Canis lupus familiaris: one gene and its partners. The protein of the gene in region 2 purifies or fractionates together with the protein of the main gene of each other region. This does not show direct contact. Links are inferred from orthologs where the notes say so. Each region holds a gene or a part of one and is shown on either strand. Other genes may lie near its edges.

What was found.
Region 1: the proteins of EIF2AK2 (region 2) and ZNF346 purify together in Homo sapiens (affinity purification with mass spectrometry; 3 studies listed by BioGRID and IntAct, with this or other methods). This does not show direct contact. The link is inferred for Canis lupus familiaris from reciprocal best matches to the Homo sapiens genes EIF2AK2 and ZNF346.
Region 3: the proteins of EIF2AK2 (region 2) and MAVS purify together in Homo sapiens (affinity purification with western blotting; 3 studies listed by BioGRID and IntAct, with this or other methods). This does not show direct contact. The link is inferred for Canis lupus familiaris from reciprocal best matches to the Homo sapiens genes EIF2AK2 and MAVS.

Annotation. Positions count from the first base shown.
Region 1 is NC_049225.1:37,186,078-37,193,163, reverse strand, and holds the start of ZNF346 (zinc finger protein 346), read left to right. Parts: upstream 1-2,663; 5' UTR 2,664-2,710; coding exon 2,711-2,885; intron 2,886-7,086.
Region 2 is NC_049238.1:29,691,738-29,698,823, reverse strand, and holds the start of EIF2AK2 (interferon-induced, double-stranded RNA-activated protein kinase), read left to right. Parts: upstream 1-2,529; 5' UTR 2,530-2,588; exon of another isoform or gene 2,589-4,449; intron 4,450-7,086.
Region 3 is NC_049245.1:17,972,257-17,979,342, reverse strand, and holds the start of MAVS (mitochondrial antiviral-signaling protein), read left to right. Parts: upstream 1-2,946; 5' UTR 2,947-2,965; intron 2,966-6,186; 5' UTR 6,187-6,256; coding exon 6,257-6,373; intron 6,374-7,086.

The DNA.
Region 1 (7,086 bases), on a different chromosome or scaffold from region 2:
TTTTCTAAGTGGGCTGTGACATGGAAAAAGTTGGAAAGCTCTACTTGAATCTAATTCTCCTCCTTTCCCTTCTAAAAACCATCTGGAAATCCCAAACCAGTAATCAACAAACATCCCTACATCTTCAATCTGTTCTTGGAAAGTCACTGATTTAAAATTTGGCAAGTCCTGAAGACAATGCTTCCCTGCAGCCTTGAAGATACTATAAAATGACCCATCCTGAGCCATGGACTAGGATTGCAGCAAAGATGGGGGGGTGGATGTCATCATCACCCTCCTTCCCCCAGCCAACGTCAGCATAGCTTTGTCACTGTTTTCCTCAAGAACAAACCCTGCTGTTCAGACCAATTTCAGATTCTGAGTCAAATAATGTTTGTACACATCCTGTTAGTAAAACTTAATTTATGGTCACTTCTAACAACTAGAGATGTGTTCACAGAGCTGAGAAGTAGAAAGCCTCATGGTAGTGTTCACTAGAGAATAAATCTAAATTGTTTTGAGCATCTAATCAGATTGAGAATGAGGGGAAAGGGACTATTTTTTGCTCCATTTTGTCAAATATACATGCTTGAATTCTGGGAATTTTACAAAAATGTCCTTCATACCTTTGGATTTCTAGCTGAATAACTCTGCTATGGAAATGTGGGCAACTAGAAACTTTCTATGAGATAAATAAGTAATGTATAGTCATTGTTTTTTAGGCTAGTCATCTGGTATTGGCAAAAGGACACAGATTTGCAGCCTGAGGACTGGTGTTCAAGCATAAGCTCTAATATTAACTAGCTGTGTGACCCTGATAAAACCCTTACCTCTCCCAGTCTGTTTCTTTATTGTCGAATAAGAAAGAATCCTTCATAGGAGAACTACCCTGGGGATTAAATGTTAAAGGTGCTTTGTAAACTATAACACTACACAATTATCAACCATCTATTGCATTGTAATAGATGAGTCAGGCATGAGGTCTGACACAGAGCTGATGCACAATATTTATAGTATAAATAAGTAAACCCCACTGGTGAGCTGGGTGATCTCAGGCAAGAAACATCTCAGTTTCTCTCTTTTGCCTTCTCTGATAACCACCTCCCCCTAGTTCATTGGGCTCCAGACATACAGTCCTTTTTCCTGTTCTTCCAGCAGAGCAAGCTCACCCCTGCCGCAGGTCCTTTGGACCTGCTGTTCCCTCTTCCTGAAACATTCTTCCCCAGCTCTTTGCATGACTTTCCAGTTCTCATCAATCCAGTCTTAGATAAAATGTCATTTATTCAGAGGCTTTATTATTCAGTGAGTAATATTCCTTCCACGTCATTCACCCAATATATATTCCTGTTTTATTTTCTCCTTAGCACTTATTACTATCTGTTGACTTATTACACTCTCCTCCACTAGAAAAAAAAAAAAAAAACACTATACTAGAGCTTCCCTGTCCACAACTGTATTCCAATGCCCAAGATAACATCTAACTCATAGTAAACTCTCAATAAGCATTTGAATAAATGAAGTTGAAATATGATAATTATATTAAAAGTTTCATTTTCATTCATTCAACAAATATTTTGTATGTACCTATGAGAGCCCAGGTTCTATTTCAAGATGCTGGGGATTCAACTGAGAACAAAATAGACAAAAATCTCTTTCTTGGGGTATGACTACTAGTGGGGAAACAAAGAAAAAACAAGGTTAAAAAGTAAAAACATACTATATCTGATAATGTTAAGTGTTAAGAAGGAAAAAAATAATAAAGCAGGAAAGAAGGACATGAAATATGTGTGGAGGTGTTAAATTTTAGATAGGGTAATCAGAGAATGAAATGAGAGGCTGAGCCCTGAGGATATACGGGGGAAATGCATTCCAGGTCATGGTAACTGGCACAATAATGAAGGTGTTGGAGAGTAACACAATAAAGGATGAGACAGGGAGGTTAGGGGAGTTGGACTGTATAGAGCCCTTTGGCTAGACTAAGACTTTGGCTTTTACCAAGAGCGAGATGGTAAACTGTTGAAGAATAGGAGCATCAGGGTATCATGATGCGGCTTGTTTTAAGAGGATTGCTGGGGCTGCTGTGCTTCGAATACCTGAAGGGCAAGGGAAAGGACCAGTGAAGACGCTACAATAACCTTGGCAAGAGATGATGGCTCCCCAAGACTCGGGGAGGAGGAGTTGTGGGGATGGAAGATGAAATTTTGGATCCGACAGTCACATTGGGAGAGTTTAAGGGGGAGGTCTGCTCTGGGAGTTAGAACTTGAAACTCAAATGGTATTATTTATTATCAGCAGTAAACCAATCATGCAGATGGAGTCCTGACTCTACCACATCCTGGTAGCAAACTGTTGAGTCGACTATTTCTAGGTTCTGGGCCTCAGTTTCCCTAAGTAAAATGGAGAAAGTGTTCCCACATAACAAGGGCCTTCAAGAGAATGAAATGAGAAGTGTTGAAGGCTGACAGTGAGCAAGGTGAAAACCTTTGGCTTAAGACTGCACGAACCTGTACCAGAGGGAGGGGGCTGCTGTTAAACCAGAGACTGACTTTCAATTCCACAGCACACACTCCGAGAACCCCCAGCAGCGACCAAAGAGAAGCGTGTGGGCCCCCTACCGCAAGGCGGTCCGCAGAGCCCAAACCTCGCGAGATTTGTTGGCCGGGCAACGTCCCACATCTCGCGAGACCAAGGTTTATGAGTGACTATCGGCCGGTTAGGGCTTGCTGGAAAGATGGAGTATCGCGGGTTGGGCACCGTAGAGGCCGCGGACAGTGGAGGGGCCCGGCCATACAACAGCTCCGAGGAACGAGAAGGACGGGAACCGGACGGGCTGCGCTTCGACCGCGAGAGGGCGCGCCGCCTCTGGGAAGCAGTGTCCGGGGCCCAACCAGTGGGGAGGGAGGAAGGTGAGTCCGGGGACCTCAGAGGCAGCGAGTTCAACCGCCCGCTCATTTCACGGGGAGGGGCGGGAGCGCGGGGCGGGAGCACGGACAGCCCCCGGGTCTCCGGTCACACCCCCTGGCGCCCGGCCCGCCCCCTTGCGTGACGCGCCCCGGGACTCCTGGACTCGTGCACCCCAGCAGGGCCTGGGTACCATGGGCCAGGCACCCCGAAAATTGAGGCCGCAGCACCACAGGAATGAGGTCTCCGGGCTTAAATGGTCAAGGCCCCTCTCGTACTCCGGTCCCTCCATTCTCACCCACCAGAGCGCAGCTCTTCTTCAACTCTTCTTAAACGACTTTCATTCCTATCCATCCCTTCTCGGAGACCCACGGAGCCTTCCCCGCCAGACTACTAGCCCCCCACCATTTCTCACAGACTCCATCGTCCCAGTCCACAGGTTCCCCCACCCCTATGTCCCTTGCCTCCTTTGCATCCTTTCTCTCATACCCCACACTGCCAAGGACTCCAGAAGGTCTTCTTTTTTTTTTTTTTAAACATTTAAGATTTTTTTTTTTTTAAGATTTATTTATTCATGAGAGACACAGAGAGAGAGGGGTAGAGAGAGAAGCAGGCTCCACGCAGGGACCCCGACGTGGGACTCGATCCCAGGTCTCCAGGATCACACCTTGGGCTGCAGGCGGCACTAAACCGCTGAGCCACCCGGGCTGCCCGTCCAGAAGGTCTTCTTAACCCTATGTTCCTCCTGGCCTTGGTGTCTTGAACCTGATTTACCCCTGTTTCTAGGTGTCTGGTCTCAACTGCCTGGGTCCTTTTTATGAGGTGAGGGCCGGGAGACTGAGAAACTGGCCAGAGTATACTTTGGCTCCAGCTTCTTTGTATCCCATGCTTGTGCCAAAGTTGTGGAGAACAGGATACAGGAGAGGCCACTTCTGGGCTGAAAGCTTCCCAGCTTGCTCTGCATTTGACCTGGCACTGGGTAAAGTGGAGATAGAGGAGGATGGTAAAAGCTGGCCTGACTTGGTTGTGTGACCTCTTTCATAGTCCTTAGCAGTTAGCTGCTTAACTCTTAGCCAGAAGTACAAGAACTGTTTGGCCTGTGCTAATCCTGTCAAGTAATCTATAGGGAAATCAGATAATTTGTTTACTTGGTGAGCAGACTAATCTTGGAAAGTTTAATGTATTGCTTGTGAACTGATTACCCTGGAATAAAATGGAATTTTGGCCACATCCAAGGAAGGTATGTTTACATTTGGGGTGGTACACAGACCTATGCCCTTTTGTATGCTTCTCCAATTTAAAAACTAGTCTAGTCTGACTCCTAAATTAATATGGGCCCTCTTTCTGCCTCATAATTTCAAACTTGTTTGATACAAATCCTCCCCCAAACACACCCCAATTTTCCTTTCACTAATTTGACAAACATTCATTGATACCTGCTCAGTACCCAGGATGGCTGGGCATCAGAGCTACAGAGATGAGGAAGATACTGTCCTTGTCCTGAAGGGATTTTATAGTTCTAGTCCAGGAAGCAGACACCAAAACAGTTTCAGCTTAATGTAATGGGTGCAGTGAAGAAGAATGTATAAGAATTGGTTGTGCACAAAGAGGGAGTGACCTTTGTCCTTGAGGGATAAGAAGGGATCGCTTGATCTTGAAGCAGAGAACACAACAGCTGTGCTCTAAAAAGTGAATTGCTTATGTGTCTATGAATGTACAGTGTCACTTAGGACCCAGCTCATTTTTCCTACTCTCCTCACTTTCCAATAATTATATGAGGCCTAAGTAGATACCTGTAACCCCAAGTTCTACTCCTCTTTGTTTTGTTTTTCTCTTAGCAACTTTTTTTTTTTTTTAACATTTATTTATTTATGAGAGAGAGAGACAGAGAGGGAGAAGCAGGCTCCATGTCGGGAGCTCGATGTGGGACTCGATCCCGGGACTCCAGGATCGCGCCCTGGGCCAAAGGCAGGCGCCAAACCACTGAGCCACCCAGGGATCCCCTCTCTTAGCAACTTTTATTGATAATTTATATACCATAAAATTCACCCATTGTAACTGCACAATGCAATGATTTTTTAAGTAAAAGTACAGAATTGCGTTTTAGAATATTTCCATCACTCCAGTTAATTCCTTTGTGCTTCTTTTTTTTTTTTTAATTTTTATTTATTTATGATAGTCACACAGAGAGAGAGAGAGAGAGAGAGAGGCAGAGACACAGGCAGAGGGAGAAGCAGGCTCCATGCACCGGGAGCCTGACATGGGATTGGATCCCAGGTCTCCAGGATCGCGCCCTGGGCCAAAGGCAGGCGCCAAACCGCTGCGCCACCCAGGGATCCCCCTTTGTGCTTCTTTACATTAAACCTCCACTCTTACCTTCTGCCCTAGGCAACCACTGTACTCTATAAATTTACCTATTCTGAACATTTCATGTAAACAAAATCATACAATATGTAGCCTTTTGCATTTGGCTTCTCAACATGTTTTTGAGGTTCAGCCAAGTCGTACTGTGTATTAGTACTTAATTACTTTTTGTTGCTAAATAGAATCCCCATTGTATAGATCTTGCTTTTTTATTTTTTCTTATTTTTATTTTTTTTTAATTTTTATTTATTTATGATAGTCACACAGAGAGAGAGAGAGAGAGAGGCAGAGATACAGGCAGAGAGAGAAGCAGGCTCCATGCACCGGGAGCCCGACGTAGGATTCGATCCTGGGTCTCCAGGATCACGCCCTGGGCCAAAGGCAGGCGCCAAACCGCTGCGCCACCCAGGGATCCCGATCTTACGTTTTTAAATTTTTTTTTTAAGATTTTATTTATTTATTCATGAAAGACACAGAGAGAGAAAGGCAGAGACATAGGCAGAGGGAGAAGCAGGCTCCATGCAGGGAGCCTGACGTGGGACTCGATCCTGGGACCCCAGGATCAGGCCCTGGACTGAAGGCGGCGCTAAACCGCTGAGCCACCTGGGCTGCCCTAGATCTTGCTTTTTTATCCTTTGACAGTCTCTGCCTTTTGAGTGGGCTCTTTAGACTATTCACATTTAATTTCATTATTGATATGGCTAGATTTACATTTTCTACTTTGCTGTTTATCTCCTTTACATTTTTTTTTTCTCTCCTTTACATTTTGTTCTTCCCTTTCTCCTTTACTGACTTCTTTTAAGTATTTTTTAGTGGGGATCCCTGGGTGGCGCAGCGGTTTGGCGCCTGCCTTTGGCCCAGGGCGCGATCCTGGAGACCCAGGATCGAATCCCACATCAGGCTCCCGGTGCATGGAGCCTGCTTCTCCCTCTGCCTGTGTCTCTGCCTCTCTCTCTCTCTCTCTGTGACTATCATAAATAAATAAAAATTAAAAAAAAAAAAAGTATTTTTTAGTGGACCATTTTAATTTCTGTTAATATTTTTTATACTTTTTTTTTATTTTACTTTTTAATTTTATTTTCTTAGTACCCAAGGGACTACAGGATGCATCTTAACTCATCACAGTCTACTTCAAATTAATACTAACTTAATTCTGATAAAATATAAAAACATTCTTCTAATAGTGGTCCATTCCTCCCCCTCCTTTGTACTATTATTGTCATATATATTACATTGATATGTTATAAGCCTAATTGTTCAGTGTCATAATTATTGATTTATACAATATGTCCTTTTTTCTTTTTTTTTAAGATTTTACTTATTTATTCGTAAGAGAAACAGAGAGAGGGATCCCTGGGTGGCGCAGTGGTTTGGCGCCTGCCTTTGGCCCAGGGCGCGATCCTGGAGACCCGGGATCGAATCCCACATCGGGCTCCCGGTGCATGGAGCCTGCTTCTCCCTCTGCCTGTGTCTCTGCCTCTCTTTCTCTCTCTGTGTGACTATCATAAAATGAACAAAAAAAATAATTAAAAAAAAAAAGAGAGAGAGAAACAGAGAGAGAGAGGCAGAGACACAGGCAGAGGGAGAAGCAGAAGCAGGCTCCATGCAGGAAGCCTGACATGGGACTCGATCCCAGGTCTCCAGGATCACACCCTGGGCTGAAGGCGGCGCTAAACTGCTGAGCCACCTGGGCCACCCAGTATGTCCTTTTTAAAAAGATTTATTTATTTATTTATTTATTTGGAGGGGCAGGCAATGGGGAGGGGCAGAGGGAGATGAGGAGAGAATCTCAAGCAGACTCCACTGCTGAGTATGGAGTTATATGCAAGTCTCACTGTCACA
Region 2 (7,086 bases):
GGCTCCATGCAGGGACCCCGACATGGGACTTGATTCCAGGTCTCCAGGATCATACCTTGGGCTGCAGGCAGTGCCAAACCGCTGTGCCGCCGGGGCTGCCCCTAATTTTAGATTTTTAAAACTTAGGTTGAAAAAGATTCATACACCCAACTTACATCAAACTTATTTAAAAGTTTCCAATACCTGAATTGAGTATCTGTTTTTAAATTTAAATTTAAGCTGGTTAAAATTAAATAACATTTAAAATTCAGCTTATGTCACATTTCAAAAGCTCAGTTGCCCATATAGCTAGTGGCTACCGTACTGGTCAGTGCAGATCTAGACACTGATTAGCTGTGCTGCTTGCTTCAGCATTCTAATTTCTAATGGAAATTTATCATAATATAGCTTAGAAATTACCAGGCTTTTAAATTGCATATACAATGGAAGTATAACGTGGTTTAGAGGCAGCACACATAACAACAACTACTATTTATCAGGCATCTATTGTATGTTAGACCTTTTGCTAGGTGTACATAGCAAAAAAAAAAAAATATATATATATATATGTATATATAAATATATAAATTCCTTAATTTTATGAACATGGGCACCAAAGCTTAGGGATATTAATTTGTCCATTGTCACAGCTAATAATTGATGGAGTCAGGATTTGATATTAGGTTTACCTGACTCTACTATACTTTATCTAATGAAGACCCGTTTAAAAATCCCCACTGTGAATGGAACATTGAATGTAAATCTGGCTTTGGTTTGATTCCTGACTTTATCCCTGATTTTAATGCCTTGTTTAATGAACCTTGAAGGAGGGGGGAAAAAAAGAGCTTTTTTTGTACATTGTTAATCGAGCACTATTCAGAACAGAAAAATTATAAAATTAAGTAAAATTTAAAAATTTTACATATTCCCTGTAGAAAATTCAGAAAGCATGAGAAAAGGTGCAAAAGCATTAGAAATTACCCACATTTCTCCCACCAGAGGCATGTTTAACTTTTTGGCATATTTCTTTCCACCCTACTCTGTGATGTTTTATGTAGTGGATGACATTCGTAAACAGTTGTGTTTTATGTTACCCTCTTCATATATCTAAGCATTTCTTCCTGTCTTTAAACACTCCTTATAAACATACATTACAAATGGCTATCCTACAAGGAACTTTGCAACTTCAACCCAAATCACCAAAAGACTCTAAAGAAAGAAGTAACTTCCCGTACTTTTAAAAGCAATAGAAAAACATATCCTAATCTCAGGCAAAATGGTAACTTCCTGACAAATTTTCAGTATCTGAGGTCTTGATATAAACCTGCCATAAGAGGCGCCTGGGTGGCTCAGTCGGTTAAGGTCATGATCCAGCTCAGGTCATGATCCCCAGGGCCTGGAGAATCAAGCCTCAGTCAGGCTCCCTGCTCAGTGGGGAGTCTGCTTCTCCCTCTCCCTCTGCCCCTTCCCTGCTTGTGCTCTTTCTCTCATTCTCTCCCAAATAAATAAAATCTTAAAAAAAAAAAATCTGCTGTAAAATGATGACTTCTCAAAGACTAAAGTATTTAAGAAATACTTTCACAGAGGAAAAAAAATGACTAAAAAAAAAGGACTTTTAGGTCCCCAGAGTTGGGGGTGGGGGATAGGAGATTACTGAAGCCTACAGTCCCCTAAGTAATGTAAAGAGAGCATACCATGCCACCGATGGGGAAGTCCCAGTGGATGCTGTTAGTTTTACAAGAGAATTACTTTCATTCTTAAGACTAATTTTCTTCATGTGTCCATTTTCACATTTCAAAGTGAAATGTTGCCCTGAAAAATGGTAAAATATAGAGACATAGGAGTAGGGGTATGGGCAAAATGGGTGAAGACGAGTGAGAGGTACTAGTCTTCGGTTATGAAGTGAATAAGTCATAGGATTAAAAGGCACAGCGTTGGGACGCCTGGGTGGCTCAGCGGTTTAGCGCCTGCCTTCAGCCCAGGGTGTGATCCTGGGGTCCCAGGATGGAGTATCGAGTCTCACATCGGGCTCCCTGCATGGAGCCTGCTCCTCCCTCTGCCTATGTCTCTGTCCCTCTCTCTGTGTGTGTCTCCCATGAATAAATAAATAAAATCTCTTTAAAAAATTAAAAAATAAAAGGTACAGCATAGGGAATACAGTCAATGGTATTGTAATGGTGTGTATTGTGGTAGATGGTAGCTACACTTGTGGTGAGCGCAGCATAACTTAGAGTTATTGAACTACTATGTAATACACCTGAAACTAATGTAACATTGTATGTCAACCATACCCAAATAAAAATAAAAGTAAAAAAAATAATAATAAAAATAAAAGTAAAATATAGTAGCTTAAAAAAAATCAGGAAGAAATACTCTAACAGACGTCTGGGTCTGTTTTTTGTGTGTGTTGCAGGTGAAGTTGGCGATTGGAAAAATTTGTTCAGTGAGACTCAGAACCAGGAAATGGATGCAAAATTCAAAGAGTGCTTAACAGGCACTTCCCTAGGAGCAAAGCTGAAGTATGAATCTTATTGCCAAGCTTGATTCTGGTCATTCAGTAGGCATGGATATTTCATTTTTCTGAATAATAATTAAATATAAATAACAAAGTAAGTTGATCAAATAATAATGATAATTCAGTAACATTTATATGTAAATAATGTGAATTTAATAATAATGACAACATTTGAAGTTTTTGAGCTCAGACTTGTTTGTTCGCTTGTTGAGGAAAGGCCATTTAGCTGTCCAAAGGGGACACTCTTGCTAATGTGGCATACTGGGCTTTTCATTTCTTTCATGCTTTGGGTTCACATAAAAGCATAGGCAGATACTATTAGAAATATGCCTAATTGGTGTTTGAGTGTAAGACAGCCCTCCCAATGATGTATATTTTTTTGTCTTCCCAGAATGATTCCTCTATCTCTCACTACAGATCGAAGTACTTGTGGTAGCTATCTCAAACCTACTGTTAGGGGAAATGTAATTCCAACTCGGCACTGAAGTAAATGAATAAATCCTGTCCTCATAGTTCAAGGAAAATGCATTGCTCATCTACTCTCTGCATGTTCCTGCATTAGACCCTAAGGAGGCCCCATTCTTTTTATTTTTAAGATTTTATTTATTTATTTGACAGAGAGAGACAGAGAATGAACACAAGCAGGGGGAGCAGCTGGCAGAGGGAGAGGGAGAAACAGGCTCCACACTGAGCAGGGAGCCTGGCATGGGACATGGGGCTTGATCCCAGGACCCTGGGATCATGACCTGAGCCAAAGGCAGACGCTTAACTGACTGAGCCACCCAGATGCCCCTGGAGGCCCCTCTCTTAAGGGGCCTTTAGTTCAAAGATAAATATTAGATACTGTGTTATTGTGGCATAAAGGCTTTTCTACCACGGAGCCCCAGGTGGTCATGTAGAATTTACAAGAGAAGCTAGAGCATGTTTTGGGAAAAACCTCTTAATCCTTAATCTTCATACCATAGCTGGTTACAGTTAAGAATAGAATGGTTCGGGATCCCTGGGTGGCGCAGCGGTTTGGCGCCTGCCTTTGGCCCAGGGCGCGATCCTGGAGACCCGGGATCGAATCCCACGTCGGGCTCCCGGTGCATGGAGCCTGCTTCTCCCTCTGCCTGTGTCTCTGCCTCTCTGTCTCTCTCTGTGTGACTATCATGAATAAATAAATAAAATCTTTTTTTAAAAAAAGAATAGAATGGTTCATAGAAAAGTTACATAAAATTTCATTGAGAAAGACTGAAGGGTTACTATTTCTGGTAGTATGGTGGATTACATATACTGAAAACTCTTCCCTCAGAACACCAAGAAAATTTGGATAAAAATTCTTAAAAATACTTTTAGTTGATGGGGAGCCTGGGTGGTATAATCAGTTAAGTGGCTAACTCTTGGTTTTGGTTTGGGCCATGATCTCACGGGTCGTGAGATCAAGCTGTGACAACAGGCTCCACAATCAGCAGGAAGTCTGCTTGAGATTCTCTCTCTCCTTCCTTTGCCATTCTCCCAACCCATCTCTCTCTCTCTCTCTTTCTCTCTCTCTCTTTCTCTCTCTCCCTCTCCAAAATAAATAAATAAATCTTAAAAAAAAAAAACCAATTCATTTCTATTTAAGCACTTAAGGACACAGTAGTTTTTGCTCAACATCACATTTCCGGTACAGGGCTACACATAGTAGGCACTCAATAAATATATATTGAATAAAGGGGATTCCTTTTTTTGACAAGAGGTTGTTTTTAGAATATTAGATCAATTATGATGCTTTTGATGTAATAAACATAATATGAAACACAAATTGGTTAGCAGGAGAAAGAAGAGGAGGGGAGGATTCTTTTAACGGACTGGTCTAGGCTGTGTCTGGTTCAGATGCGGCTTGATCCAGAGCTCAAACAAGGACCCGATTCTTAATCTTCGCTTCTCAGCAGTACTCTCTCATGTAGGCTCCATTTCAAGAGAGGTTTCTCCTTGTGCAGTATTGGGAGACAGAAACCACTGTATGTTAAGCATAAGGATTTAGTAGAAAATGAATGCATGCATGTATGTTGGAAGGGCTGGCAGGATGGAAACCAGGAGACTTCCACTATATCTGCTATCCAGAGTTTAGGATTCTGTCACTGCCACTGCTTCCACCACTGCTGCCACCACATATGCCCTATGCCCTTGGAGAATTGACAAGGGAACTTGAGTCCAGCTCCTGTATGCACCACTGAGCACAGGAGCTTGCTTATCAGCTCGTTCTTTCACAGGACAACCTTTTCCTCCCTTCTGTCTTTCAAACCTTGTGCCATTGTTCATCAGTCATTGGCAGAACCCAAATTATGTCCAGAATTTTAACTCCACAGACATCTGGAAAATGTGATTTTAACCTTCCATACATTATAATCCAGGGATTAGGAAGACATAGAAGGGAGTGAGAACGGAAGCTAAATAAAAATATTATCTAGTGCAGTCCACTGCTTTGGCTAATAATCTTTCAAGCAAACAACAGAACTATGTTCCCACCTAATGCTGCCATCCCCTCCTTCAAAGGAAAAACATGTTTATCCTATCCCCTAATCTCTACACCCATTGCTATGTGATCTTTCTTCCTCTTCTCTTTTAGTTACAAATTCCACCTTAATACACTCTAACCTAGGGGCATCTGGGTGACTCAGGTCATGATCCCGTGGTCCTGGGATCAAGTCCTGCTTTGGGCTCCCCACAGAGAGCCTGATTCTCCCTCTGCCTATGCCTCTACCTCTCTGTGTCTTTCATGAATAAATAAATAAAATCTTAAAAAAAAAAGACACTCTATTTTTTTAAAAGATTTATTTATTTATTTATGATAGACATAGAGAGAGAGAGAGAGAGGCAGAGACACAGGAGGAGGGAGAAGCAGGCTCCATGCCGGGAGCCTAACGTGGGACTCGATCCTGGGACTCCAGGATCGCGCCCTGGGCCAAAGGCAGGCGCTAAACCGCTGAGCCACCCAGGGATCCCCAAAAAAAGACACTCTAACCTAAAAACTGTCATGAAAAATTAAATTAACCACCACCAGCAAATCTCCTATAAAGGGACAGAAGGAAGCAATCAAAAGTAGTTCACTAATACCTACAAAAACAAAGCAAGGAAGAAAAATGTATACCTTCTGTGGTCCTTTATTCTGAAACAGGTCATGAGACCATAGTATCAATCAGCCCAGCCAGTTTGGTAACCCCTGTATTTCCTTGCTGGCCTGATGTTGTCATGAATCTGCAATATCCAGATGTAGTTTCAAATTCCTATTTGAGGAATTGTGTGTCCCCTAGTGGAAACAGCCCAATGTCATAGGAACAGGAAGCACTATTTTGCAAGTGCATAATTAGGTTTATTATTTTATTTTTTAAAAGATTTTAGGGACACCTGGATGGCTTAGCAGTTCAGCATCTGCCTTTGGCTCAGGGCGTGATCCCGGGTCCGGGGATCGAGTCCCGCATCAGGCTCCCTGTAAGGAGCCTGCTTCTCCTTCTGTCTAAGTCTGTGCCTCTCTCTGTGTGTCTCTCATGAATAAAAAAAATATTTAATTAAAAAAAGATTTCTATATATTTATTTGAGAGAGAGAGCATGCACACCCATGCACATGCACAAGGAGCAAAGGGAGAGGGAGAAGCAGACTCCCCACTGAGCAGGGAGACCAATGTTGGCTAACCCCAGGACACTGAGATCATGACCCGAGTGAGCCAAAGGCAGACACCTAGCTGCCAATTAAGCCACCCAGGCGCCCCAAACTAAGTAGGTTTAATGTGGGACACAACCCTCTCTTAATTTTACTGTTTCCTGAGTTCATGTATCTTGGCGATGGACAAAACAGCAATTTGGTTTAGCACATACACTGCCCATGAAGGGTAGTACACTCAGCTTGCTAAGTATTGTCTCCTACTTGGGGCTACACCTGAGTCCTCATTACTCCATCTTATTGTCCGATACGGCCAGCTACTTGGGGAAATGGGGTTCATAATAAAATCACTGAATCCTACATCAGTCACTTCTTTTTCTGTAAAACGGGTTTAGTAAGGGATATGATGATGGTGAGCAAGGTATTCAGAATGTCCACCAATGATGATGCTGGCAGAAGAATTGCAGGAAGGAAAAGCAAATCCATATCTGCAATAAATGTTTACCCCCACACCTCAGAGGGCAAATCCCTGCCCACTCCATGAAGGAAGGGTTCCACAAATAACTCTCTGCCATAAGGTAGTTATTTGGTCTCTGTTGGCATGTGGTACTCTACCCTGGGGCCCAGAGTTGGTCCCTTATGTGAGAATGTTGGCTGCTTAGCAGCCAGATCAGTCTTGATGAGAATTTCGTGTTGATGAACTCACACATATCATATGTTCCTACTGCCATAGTTTCCTCACTCCCTGAACAAACATCATGGTGGCTGGGGAAAAGACTGACGTCTACACAAGTCTTCCTGCACCCCCCTCCCCTTCTCAAAAGCCTCCTCAGAAGTGGATGCCTTTGGTAAACATTCACAATATGCTCATAAGCTGTCTAACTGGCTTACCCACATTGTTTTCCTCAGACCACCTTATCACCAATTCTCTGATCTTGTTCCTTCCAAACTTCTCAAAATCTGGCTA
Region 3 (7,086 bases), on a different chromosome or scaffold from region 2:
AAATCTTTTTAAAAAATGATAGAAATGCACAATATATTTTCTGTACAACATGGCAGCCACATAAATACAGCATCTGAAGTGTGGCTCGTGGGGCTGAGGAACTGTTTTACATGCTATTTTAATTTGTGGGAAATGGCTACTGTGCAAAGTGGCTACTGTATTGAACTAGATGCCTGTTGAATGTCCTTCATTTGGGTTGGTTTGAAATTTCCCCATGATTGGCTTCAAATTATGAGTTTTGGCAAGAATTCCACAGATGGGATGATGTGCCCTCCTTTGGGTCCCAGACAAAGGTGGCAAGAAGACTATGTAGGCCAGAATTTTTATTGTGGTAATATATACATAACATAAAATTAATCATTCTGACCATTTTTAAGTGTACAGTTCTTGGCATTAAGTATATTCACGTTGTTGTGCAGACATCACCACCATCAATTTCCAGAACTTTTTCATCTTCCCCAGTGAAACTCTCTACCCCTTTCCTCTAAAATTTAAAATTAGAATTACCATATAATCCAGGAAGTCTACTTCTAGATACATACCCAAAGAAATGAAAGCAGGGATGTGAACAGATTTTGTATACCCATGTTTATAACAGTATTATTCACAACTGCCAAAAGGTAAAAAGCAGTGGATGAATGGATAAACAAAACATGGTCTACTCATATAATGGAATATTATTCAATCTTAAAAAGGTAGAAAATTCTAGTATATACTTTAACATGGATGAACTTTGAAGACATTATGCTAAGTGAAATAAGCCAGTCATGAAATGACAAATATATGATTCCATTTATATAAGCTATCTAGAATAGGCAAACTCAGAGACAGAAAGTAGAATAGGAGCTTCTAGAAGCTGGGTGCAATGGAGAGTGGAGTGTTTAATTGGTAGACAGTTTTACTGGGGAAGATGAAAAAGTTCTAGAAATGGATGGTGGTGATGGCTGTACAACAACGTGAATGTACTTAATGCCACAGAACTGTTCACTTAAAAATGGTTAGAATGGTAAATTTTATGTTATGTGTATGTTACACCACAATAAAATAGCCATACTGTTCCATAGCAACTGCACCATTTCACATTGCCACCAGTAATGTTCAAGGGTTCCAGTCTCTCCATATCCTTGCCAATACTTGTTATTTTGTTTTATAATAGCCATCCTAAAGGTTTATATCAGCTATAGACTAGATTTTTAAAAACATTTTTATTTATTTGACAGAGCATGTGCACGCACAAATAACAGTGTGGGGGAGAGGGGCAAAGGGAGAGGGAGAGAGAGAATCTTCAGCAGAGTCTCCACTGAGTGCAGAGCCTGAGGCAGTGGCTCAATCTTCCGACCCTGAGATCATGATCAAGAGTTAGACTGAGCCATCCAGGTTCCCAGTCTCTCTTTCATTTTTAAGTTGCAGGGTAAAGTATAACAATCTTAAGTGTACAGCTGATGCATTTTTACATATGCACAAGCCCATGTGCACACTGCTCACATCAAGATATAGAACATTTCCATTCCCTGCAAAAGTTCCCCTGTACCCCAACCCAGAAGTCAACAGTGAATGATTTTTCTTTATGTAGATGAGTTTTGCTTGTTTTTCAAACTTGCCTTACCTTGCAACTGGGGAAACAGACAGCATGTACTTTTTGTACTTGACTCTGCTAGCAGTGGTGCCCATTTATCTGGGGGAGACTCATCCATGCTGTGTATATGAATTGTTTGCTCTTTTTCACTGCTGCATACTATTCCACAATGTGACCACACCACAGTTTATCTCTTTATTCTGCTGATGGACCTTTGGGTCGTTCCCAGAGTTTGCCTATTGTGAACAAAGCCACTATGAATATTAGCTATTGTGCATGTGACACACACCTAGGAGTGGTGGCTGGGTGATAGGCTTGGCATAGGTTTCACTTAAGAACTGCCATTTTCTGAATCTTTTATTTATTTATTTTTTAAGATTCTATTCATTTATTTGACAGAGAGAGAGCACAAGCAGGGGGAGCAGCAGAGTGAGAGAGAGAAGCAAGCTCTCTGATGAGGAGGGAGCCAGATGCGGGTTTGACCCTAGGACCCTGAGATCATGACCCCAGCCAAAGGCAGACCCTCAACTGACTGAGCCACCCAGACACCCCTGAATCTTTTAATATTTCTTAAAACCAGGAAAAATAAACCTCTACCTGGTGATTGTCTGAGTATTTAGTGGCTTCTAAGGTATAAGACTTTAAGCCTGTACCTGGAACACAGTGGGAGGCTCAGTAATTGCTGGCCTCAGCCCCAAACAGAGGAAGGGCCAGGCAGCTGGCAGGCGCTGTGGGGAGGTACCTGGTCCAGACCCTTGGGCAGAGAAGCCTTTCCCACACAGCACTCAAGACCCACAGCCAGCAGTCTGGGCAGCCCGAACTTGGCGCCCCTGCCCTGCTCTCACCTACCCAGCCTCCTCGCACTGTGATCCTGCTTCCTCAGGCCCAGCATTGGTGTCGCTTCCTGTGCACTTTGCGTATCACTCGATATTTATTGGGCACTAACTTTATGCCAGGCCCTGGGTGCCCCGGTACAAATGCCATAAAGACCCTCCCCCCTCAAATTACTCAGGAGGAGTGATTGCTTGGCGTAGGAAGCATGGGGACCCAGCCGAGCACTGACTCCGAGGTCGGTCAGCCACTTGAGTTCTAGCCAGATTCTGTATTTCCCCTGGAAGTTTGTTCTGGACAAACAAAATAATCTGATCCTCTGCGCCCCAGCAGGAGCCTAGGTCTGCCCGGAGCGCCTGTCCCGCGGGTCCAGGCCCTCGAACCACTGCCAAGCGCCCACCCCCGCGGCCCAGTGGCTCAGGCTGGCCGCCACGCCCCGCCCCCGCCGCCTGGCCAATGGCCTCGCGGTCCCGCCCCTCTCTGCCGCGCCCCCTCCTGCAGGGGAGGGTTCCGGGGTGTCTGCGGAGGTCCGCGGGTAGCCGGGTAGTGGCTACCGAGGTAAGTTAGCCGTCCCGGGCGCGGTCGGTCCCCTGGGCTCTGGGCGCGCCGATGGCTTTCGGAGCGGTGGTCAGCGGAGGCAAGAGCGGAGCGGGACGCGGAGCCCACCGGGGCGCACGGGGGTCCGGGGACGGGACTGGCTGCGCGGGGCTGGGTTAGAGCCGGTCCCGAGGCGCCGCGCTTCGCGGCAGCGCCGGGCGGGGCGGGGGGGCGTGGGTCGTGTGCTCGGGCGGGAGGGGAGGTTGGGGGAGCAGACAGGCGCTGGCTGCTGAGTGCCTCCAGCGCCCCGCAGGCCGGGGGTGACCCTGGGGCGAGGCCTAACCTCCCGGAGCTGCGGCCGCGCCTAGAGGCCGCCGTCCTCCCCCGGGCCTTGACAGTTCTCGGTGGTGACATCTGACCAGAACAGCCTCCCTCCCTCCCTCCGCGGGCCTGGTTCCTTCCAGGAATTGGAGCCAAATCAGTGAGGCCTCGCCTCTCTCCTCCGGGTGGTTATTTCTTTCCGGGACGCACTCAGCGCGTCCGGGGCATTCAAGGTAGGAACTTCTCGCAGCGTCAGTCCGCCCTTCTCTGAGACCGGAAGGAGCTGCTAGGAAAACATTGGGGGAAAAAAAAACACAACCAAAAAACGACGTTCTGTGCACGCTGTGGAGCCTTAAAAACTTCTGGAAGGACAGTCAGCGATCTGAGAACTGCGACTGCCGAACAGGGCAGGTTAGCATGCAGTCAGCCTTGTCTGAATGATTTACATACTATTCCTACAAGAGAAGGGACTACGTCTTTCAGCCTCCCTGGCACACCCCCATCTGAGGACTCCCCTCACCCAGGCAGTGGCCTTGGTCCCTCTGGGGCTGTGAGTCTCACTTGTTGCAGCAGCCCCTATGTTCTGTAAGGTGTATGGTGAACTGCAATGAGACAGCAAGTCCTGGGTTCAAATCCTGTTAGGGCCACTGGTCTGTTTGTACAACCCAGCATCATTTCTCCTCTCCTAAAGGAAAGAAAATTAGAATGTGCCTGCCTATAGTAGATCATGAATAAATATGAACAAATATGGGCTTCCTTCCTTTTTGGTTGGAGCATGTTCTACTTCCATACCCCCCAAACTCTTGTCCTTAGGGCTGCGGCTCAGATGCAGAAGAATGTATCACCTGACTCTATCCTTGTCCCTCCCCACATGCCATGGAAAGAAAGGAGAAAAGCGTCATTTAGCCACCTTAGAGTTCTTTGCTCATCTCCTGAACGCTCAGAGGACCCCTGCCCCATCTTCTTGAACCTCTTGACTTCTGTCATTGACACTTGCCACACCAATAATGTAGCACCTGGTGGCTGACAGAGCAAGGCATGCCACATGAGGCTATGAGGCCAGCAGACAGGACTACTGCCCCATTTCCCATATGGGTGACAGACTGGTGGCCCCAGCTCTGCTCTGCAACATTATCTTCTAGAGTCCCACCCAAGCCACACACCCACATTTTTGCTCCAGTCTGGCTCCTCTTCTGACCCCTTTCTTCCCAGAAAACCCACTTGGACATGTCATAGTGTCTCAGACTTGAGACACTATGATCACCTGATCAAAATGGAGCTTTGGAATCCTCTCTGCACCACAGCTTCTCCACCAGGTTCTCTGGCCTGCCTAAATGGCACCATCCATCTACCTAGTGCCTGAGGAGTTATCCTTGATTCTTCTCTCTCCCTCACTTCCCACATCCAGGACCCACTAGGAATCCAGCCACCTCTCACCATCTCCATGGGCAGCATTCTGGCCATACCCATCCTGTGGCCCCCTGCTTCAGCCTCCCAATTGTCTCCCTGCTTCCATCCTGGCCTCTGTACAATCCAGGTCCTCACAACTACCAGAGAGGTCTTTAACATAAGTCAGATCCTCTCCCTTCTCTGCTCAGAACCCCCAGTGGCTTCCCATTTCACTCCAAGAAACCCCCCAAAGCAAAAATAACAACCCCCAGAGTCCTTTCCTGCAACACTGCACATGAGCCACCACTTTTCAGAACCTCCTTGACCTTGATCCCTTCCCCTCCCCTTAGCTTTCTAAACCTGGACCACCCAGACCTGCTTTCTGTTCTTCAAACATGCCAAGGTCATTTCCACCTTAGGACTTTTAAATTGCTGTGCCCTCCGCCCAAAATGCTGATCTTGCAGCTCAGAATGGCTCAGCTCAAATGTCACCAATTCAGAAAGACTTACCTGACCACCTCTGTTCATGCAGCACGTCCTTCTCCAGGGATTCTGTCTCAAAACCCTGGTTTATTTTCTTCATAACTTGGTTACTATTTGGAATTCTTATTTATGTACGTGTTTACTGATTTGTTATCTGTCCCACCCCAATAGAATATAAATTGGATGATGGCAGAGATCTTGTCCCTCTTATTCCCTGCAGCTCTCCCTGAGGGGGAGGCAGGTAAGGAACTCACAGACAACCCCATCTATAATTGCAAATTGTGGTAAGTCCTACCTAAGCAAGTAGTAGCAATTGCTAGTAATTGAGGCACTTGTAAATGTCAGGCTTATGCAGTTGAGCTACTGTATTGTCAAAACAAGCCCTCTGAGTCATTTTAGGGGTAAAGAGAAGACTGTAGAAAGCCGGTAATTTGCCCTAGATCATACGGTGAGTGGAACTAGCCTCCTATCCTAAGAACATGTATGTGGCAAGCTTTAATGGTGGGCTTGCGGTCATGTTCTGGAAAGGACCTGACCTCTGATCTTTGCTCTTCTGCTAACTAGCAAGCCCCTTAATTTCTTGGTACCTCATTTTCTTGACCTTTAAAGTAGGATGATCCTATTATTATTTTGGGGCTTTTTTCTCTTTTTTCTAGTGTACCCCAAAGAAGCAGCAGTCCTTGGTGGAGTCCTCTTGCTATCAGCGACTAGGGACACATACAGACCTTGGGACCATGGCAGGGAGTCAGAACCCTCCCCAACACTGACCAACCTGCAGGGCGGGCAGAAATGGGGCCTAGATCTGGATCTGATTTCTTTCTTTCTTTTGGATATGATTTCTTTTTTTTTCTTTCCCGGATATGATTTCTTTTGGTCATCAATTTCATTTTTAAGTAGGTTTATTGAGGGCCTCTGGGACTCAGGCAGTAATAAAATTGGTTGATTAAAGAAAAAAGCAAACATTGCAGAGAGTTGAGAAAGAGAAGTGATTGCCTTCTGTCCAACCCCACTCCCAACTCTGTTGCCATATGTGGTGTGTTTTCTTTCAGTCCTTTTTTCCCTCTCCATCCATCCTTTTATGGGCCAGAGCCTCTGTGTCACTGTAGAACCTAGACAGCGATGACGTTTGCTGAGGACAAGACTTACGAGTATATCCGCCACCATTTCAGCAATTTTGGCCGTATTCATGTTCTGGAGATACTCCCTTACTTGTCCTGCCTTACAACAAGCGACCAGGTGAGCAGGGGCGTGACAGCTGACCCGGGGCGGGGGGGGGGGGGGGGGGGGGGGGGGGGGCAGGGGCGCCAGAGCTTTGCCCAGAGCCAGGGCCAACTCCTTCCTTCTCTGTCATCTGCATCCTGCTTTTCTTTCTTTTTAAATTTTTTAAAGATTTTTTTTTTAAATTTGAGATAGAGAGCAGAGGGAGAGGGAGAAGCAGACTTCCTCTTCCCGCACAGGAAGCCCGATGTGGGGCGTGATCCCAGAACCTGGGATCATGGCCTGAGCTGAAGGCAGGCACTTAACTGCTTAACCGACTGAGCCACTTGGGCACTCCATCCTGCTTCTTGACCTTGATGCTTCTCTAACTCGGAGAATGAAGTGTGATTCAGGCTGGCCTTTGCGACGTGGCTGAGCTCCCTCTCGTGTCCATATGGTGTAGTGCTAAAATATAGGGTGCTGGCTGCCTGAGATTTCTGGGCCTCAGTCCCATCTCCTGCTTCCATTGGGACTTTACTTTGTCTTTCTTATCGTTGTTCGTGCTGTGTTGACTCCATTCTCCTTGTCAGGGGACCCTGTCCTGACAGGGAGCCCAGGGCTCTGTTTCGAGAGTTCACGAGAGCCAGACTGCTCTGCTGTGGCCCCAAGTGAAGTGGAGCTGGCCGCCTCCTAGATTTAGCTGCTCCCAGAGGGCACCAGCACTCTGCTTCCACCACGAAGCTGTGGTGGTG